Kluyveromyces lactis: one gene and its partner. The protein of the gene in region 2 purifies or fractionates together with the protein of the main gene of each other region. This does not show direct contact. Links are inferred from orthologs where the notes say so. Each region holds a gene or a part of one and is shown on either strand. Other genes may lie near its edges.

The links. The genes of interacting proteins can lie anywhere in the genome.
Region 1: the proteins of DBP5 (region 2) and RPS3 purify together in Saccharomyces cerevisiae (affinity purification with western blotting; 3 studies listed by BioGRID, with this or other methods). This does not show direct contact. The link is inferred for Kluyveromyces lactis from reciprocal best matches to the Saccharomyces cerevisiae genes DBP5 and RPS3.

The regions. Positions count from the first base shown.
Region 1 is NC_006040.1:705,036-707,582, reverse strand, and holds RPS3 (40S ribosomal protein uS3), read left to right. Parts: upstream 1-1,244; coding exon 1,245-1,958; downstream 1,959-2,547. Other genes in the region: SHR3 (Shr3p), read left to right, coding at 2,378-2,547. UniProt on the Saccharomyces cerevisiae protein: Component of the ribosome, a large ribonucleoprotein complex responsible for the synthesis of proteins in the cell.
Region 2 is NC_006042.1:1,475,685-1,479,040, reverse strand, and holds DBP5 (ATP-dependent RNA helicase DBP5), read right to left. Parts: upstream 1,929-3,356; coding exon 519-1,928; downstream 1-518. Other genes in the region: STD1 (Std1p), read right to left, coding at 2,327-3,356. UniProt on the Saccharomyces cerevisiae protein: ATP-dependent RNA helicase associated with the nuclear pore complex and essential for mRNA export from the nucleus. May participate in a terminal step of mRNA export through the removal of proteins that accompany mRNA through the nucleopore complex.

The DNA.
Region 1 (2,547 bases), on a different chromosome or scaffold from region 2:
TCAATTGAAAACAATCAGAAATGGTCGTCTTACCGATTTCTTAGGTACTGGCTCTAGGAAATGGAGTGAATAGCGCAGTTTTGTGCTTTGTGCGGTAGACGGAATAAACTGTATAGGCAACCAGTAAAAGGATCTACGAGTGAACTAGTAAGTTACAAAGTGGAATTGATTGGCCCATTATAAAGGCTGTGCAGGAGTCCGAACATCTCAGAAAACCATTTACAAAATGAGCTGCCTACCTACATGGTTCTTTCTTTTTATTCACACAAGTTGCACCAATCGATGTGCTTGTTTCGAGTGAGCAAGTAGCTGATTTTCATTTTCTTTTTTTTTTTTTGGCCTTAGGGAAAACTTACTAGGAACATGAAAAGGTAGTTGTTATAATGGATTGTAGTGGGTAGGTAGGTTGAGGCATTTCTGGTACATTCCGTATATTCGAGTGTGCTCGCTGTACCCTCTGCAGGTGTACTGGCTCCCAATATTATTCTTTTTTTTCGTTCAAATTGTGAGAAACAGAGAGAGAGAGAGAAAACGAAACGGCATCCTGTAATTACCCGAAGCAATATTGGGTCATATACCTGCTAAAACCCGGTCAATATTGACGTACTTTCTTTTCGGAATAACAAGTATGCAGCTGTGACACGCCGTGATTGCAACATTGTCTGGAATTCCTATGTTATTTCCCATTTTATTATTCGTTGAAACAATTGTGTTGTCTGTTTCCTAAGTGATGCGAGTTACCACAAGGCTCTCGAGTATTCACATAAACCAATGCAGGGGGTGGAACATCTCGCGTATAAATCCTATTTAGGAACTTCCCCATTAGGAAATGGAGGAACGGTCTTGAAGTTTTCTGTTTACGGCGAGTTTTCTACGCTTACCAGGTGACTTGAAAATATATGTTCCTGGGACTGCTCACCCGGACATTTTTGTTTTAGTTTTTTTTCCAATTTTTTCTGCATTGCCATTTTGGGTACTTATCTCATTGAAAATGTTCATTTATCTGAAGCATTAACCCATACACCACATGTGTTGGTGAGTAAATACTGTCTTTCAGATGATTTTTTCATTTTCACCATACCAATCGCAGCGATTCGGACGGTTTGACGAATATTGTTCTCATCATCGCTTTACAATCTGGTTCATTATGAACATAAGTGCCATTGGACATACAAGATACTTACTTTAGTTAGTTTTATTATCACCTATAATTTCGAGCTCCCCGACGAACAAATAAAGTAAAAATGGTTGCCATTATCTCCAAGAAGAGAAAGCTTGTCGCTGACGGTGTTTTCTACGCCGAATTGAACGAATTCTTCACCAGAGAATTGGCTGAAGAAGGTTACTCTGGTGTCGAAGTCAGAGTTACTCCAACCAAGACCGAAATTATCATCAGAGCTACTAAGGTTCAAGATGTTGTTGGTGAAAATGGTAGAAGAATCAACGAATTGACCTTGTTGATTGAAAAGAGATTCAAGTACAAGCGTGGTACCATTGCTTTATACGCTGAAAGAGTCCATGACCGTGGTTTGTCCGCTGTTGCTCAAGCTGAATCCATGAAGTTCAAATTGTTGAACGGTTTGGCCATCAGAAGAGCTGCTTACGGTGTTGTCAGATACGTTATGGAATCTGGTGCCAAGGGTTGTGAAGTTGTCATCTCCGGTAAGTTGAGAGCTGCTAGAGCCAAGTCCATGAAGTTCGCTGACGGTTTCTTGATCCACTCCGGTCAACCAGTCAACGACTTCATTGAAACCGCTACCAGACACGTTTTGTTGAGACAAGGTGTTTTGGGTATTAAGGTTAAGATCATGAAGGACCCATCTAGAAACACCTCTGGTCCAAAGGCTTTGCCAGATGCTGTTACCATCATCGAACCAAAGGAAGAAGAACCAGTTTTGGAACCTTCTGTCAAGGATTACAGACCAACTGAACCAGTTGAAGCTGCTGAATCTGCTTAAATCAATTGATATCTGTTTGATTCTATATTATTAATTAGTCTATTAAATACCGTTCTTATATGTATAAATATTAAGAAACTCATCAATTCTTTTAAAAATAAGTAATCTATGCCCAGATGACATCGATTAAAACGTCCTGCTTTTATCAATGGATTTTTAAAATGATTTATCGATAGCGCCTTCCGATAATGCCTTTCCGCCTTTCAGTTCCTTTATCTTTCATACTAATCAAAAAAATTCGGTGGGCAAAAATCATGTAAATTATTAAAAAAAAAGAGAATATATAGTGCGTACTGAAAAAACCAATGGCTCAATTATAGATGAATTGTTAACCATTTAATACCACACGTAGGGTCTATACGTTCCATTTTTAAGAGAACGTAGGTATCGCTCACTAAACACATTGACTGAAAGTAAATATGGGCCTAACTTATAAGGATTTTTGTGCTGTAGGTACAGCATTGATCATTGGATCAACTACTTTTTTGATGGGGATCTTCTTTTCTAATCAACCATATGACTATAATATCCTATTCAATCCTGCTGCCACGCCGGAGCATTTTGAGAACGCTTTGAAACACTACCAGAC
Region 2 (3,356 bases):
AATAAAATGACTAAGTAAGCAATCACAGATATGTACCTAAAACACGAAGCTATGCAATTGCGCACTCAATTCCAGGAAGTATGAAAAGAAATTCTATTCACATCATTCTGACATACCGATAATAATGTTGATAATCTTAGCAGAATCCATCTTGAAGTTGTTGTTTGGTGCTGGTGGCCCCGTTTTGTTTATACGGGCAAGGTTTATTAGATGGTTAAACTCTTTGCCATTTCATTATTTTTATAGTTTGTTTTTTTATTTTTCATTTTTCCCTTTCAGAATTTCCGCTGTTTTGCAATAGGGTCTTGAGATATGCCAATGCTGAAGACCCTCATCCAATAGTGCCAGTAATCACTAAAGAATGATAGTGGTAAATATGTGTATCTGTAACTTCACGTCGAAACCGTTCCATGTTTTGGTCAAGTTGATTTTTATTTCAACTAATCGATTACTATTATTATGACTGTAAAAGGTATCAATAGGGAAAATGTATATAAAAGTAGATACAGTACTTTTCTCTAGGCCTTTAAAGCTTTTTTAACGATGGTTTCCATTTCATCCAGATCATCGGTTGGGACTTTAGTAATTTCGATATCACCAAAGTACTTTTGTATAGCCGATAGTACTTCGAACGATTTCTTGTCGTGAATGAATGAAATAGCCACACCGGTACGGCCAAATCTACCGGTACGACCGATTCTATGAACATAGGTTGAAGGGTCTGCTTGTCCATTAGGTAGTGTAGGGAGATCGTAATTGACGACCATGGAAACGGATGGTATGTCGATACCACGAGCTAAAACGTTTGTTGTGATCAAGACCTTGGATCTACCCTCTCTGAAGTCATCGATCAATCTATCTCTATCTTGACTTTGTAAGTCACCATGCAAGATTGATACCTGGTGGCCCTCCTTTTTAAGTTTTGCATATAGCAAGTTGGCAGTTTGCTTTGTTTTCACGAAAATAATGGAAGAACCAATGGTTAATAGACCATAAAGTTCAGATAATATTGTGTATTTGTGTTCTTCGTTGTCACAGTCCATGAACAATTGTTTGATGGCACTAACGTTGACCTCATTCTTTTGTAATTCTAAAGAAACTGCAGTTGGGATGATCTTCTTGGCATATTGACGTACCCCGTCATCAAAAGTGGCAGAGAACAACACTAATTGACATGTCTTGGGTAAAAATTTCTTCACACGGATACATTGATCACCTAGACCTTGTTTGTCTAACATATTATCTGCTTCATCCAACACGAAGACTTTGATTGATCCCAAGTTTAACATTTTTCTACGAATCAAATCGAGAACTGTACCAGGTGTACCGACAACTATGTTTGCAGTTATCGGCTTATTTCTTTCGAATGAATCCGGAACCACTAATTGTGAAGAAGTCTTAGTAAATTTACCCATTTCTTGGATAACTTCTAAAGTTTGTCTAGCCAATTCTCTCGCTGGTGATAGACAGATGGCCTGTGTTGAATTGACATTTGGATCTACACGAGTCAACATTGTCAATGAAAATGCTGCCGTCTTACCCGTACCAGATTGTGATTGTGCAATCATGTTATGTGGAGGATCTCTAATCAATAATGGTAAAGCTTTCTCTTGAATCTTAGATGGCTTTTGGAACTTCATTGCATACAACCCTTTCAAAAGCTCCTCAGATAGACCAAGCTCTTCAAAAGACTTTACACTATACAATGGTGAGTTTGCATCTGCCTGCAAATCGGCAAGATTAACCTTCACTTCGTATTCAGAGTTAATAACCTTGTTTGCTGGTTCTTCAGCTTTAGTCTCTTTAGCATCTTCCTTCTCAACCTTAGTTTCAGATGTTGTGTCATTGTCCTCAGATGCCTTTTTTGCAGGTTCTTTGATGTTCAAACGAGCCATCAAATCACTGGCTTCTTTGCTTAGCTGTGCCATCTTGAAGTGATTTTTTGGTTTCACCGATGGGTATGCAGTGTCACAAATTAGCAAAGACAACTTCAATAGCTTACCTCTGCTATTCTATGTCTTTAATACTTCTGTAGTTTTCAATTTCTGCAGCTTTGTAAATTTTAAACCAACGAAAGATGGAGGAAATATAGTTACCCTACCTGGTGAATAATACTAGTTACAATCGAACTAAACGAATAAATATTTATATACTGTTAATATGTGATGTAATAACTGCACTTAAGGCAGTACTGTGCAAGATATGGTCATAAATTTAGCTTGGTACGCAGTTGAAGGGATAGCATTAAAAAAAAAAAAAAAAAAATATATATATATATATGTTCATTAGAATGAGAAAGTTTTCCGTAATTGTAATTTCCAATTGATCATGACTGGATTCTGTTTGCACTGACATTGTCAGGTGTCCAATCTAAACCTAGTCTTTGGTACACTTGCAGTTGGCAATGGGACCAGACCATTGACTTTTCGTCTTTTGTTAAAGACACTTTCGTAGGTACTTCGACTAATGGCACAGGAGCTTGTTGTTGTTGCTGTTGCAAAGCCTGTTGCTGTTCAAGTTCCAATTGTTCCTCGATCTTGATTTGAGAGTTTCTTAGTAGTGCCCTTCTGAGCAGCGAATTCTTAGACTTCTTCGGTATTATTGATGGAGGTGGCATATTAGGTTTCTTTACAGTATTTTGCTGCTGAAGAATCATGTTTTGTTGGAGAGCTTGTTGTTTCAGTTGATCTAACTTCCATTTTTTGTACTCAGAACAAGCCTTCTTGAAATCAAATCTACATTGTGCCTCAACTACAATGTTAAGTAAGTAGTTCTCTATAATGTTTCTCCATTCAGGCTTCGATAGTTGCATGACTGGTTCGTGATGGCCTATTAGCTCTTCGTGTCTTTTCCTAGCTGAATTGACTGTATATTTGGCACTGGTTAGCTTAAACTCGTAGTCAAGATTAGCTTCGATATAAAGATCAGAACTTACCAACGTCGATATGATGAATTCATCTGGGGAATTCAGTGGTAATAACTGGAACCTGAACTCAGGAATAGATGGTTCCGTACCATTGTTACCCTGCAGTTGATTGAATGCTATGGTAGGAAGTTTCCCGTTCCATTCGGGCCTCAAGGACTCTATTATGAGTAACGACCTTATATCATTAATATCCCAATCTAAAAGTTCTCTCTTAGTAAAGTTCGGCCTTCCGTTGCTCATCAAATTTTGAGGATTCATCAAAATATCTGGGCTGTACATGTCGTAGAATATTGTTGGTAAAGCTTGCTCTAGTGTAAGTGTCAAAGGTTTCGAGTCCTGTTGATCTATCACAGATGACGCATCAGTAAGTTGCGTAGAAATTGTATTGAAAGAGGGTGACGAGAAAATCGAGGAACCTGTCCCTGATGAC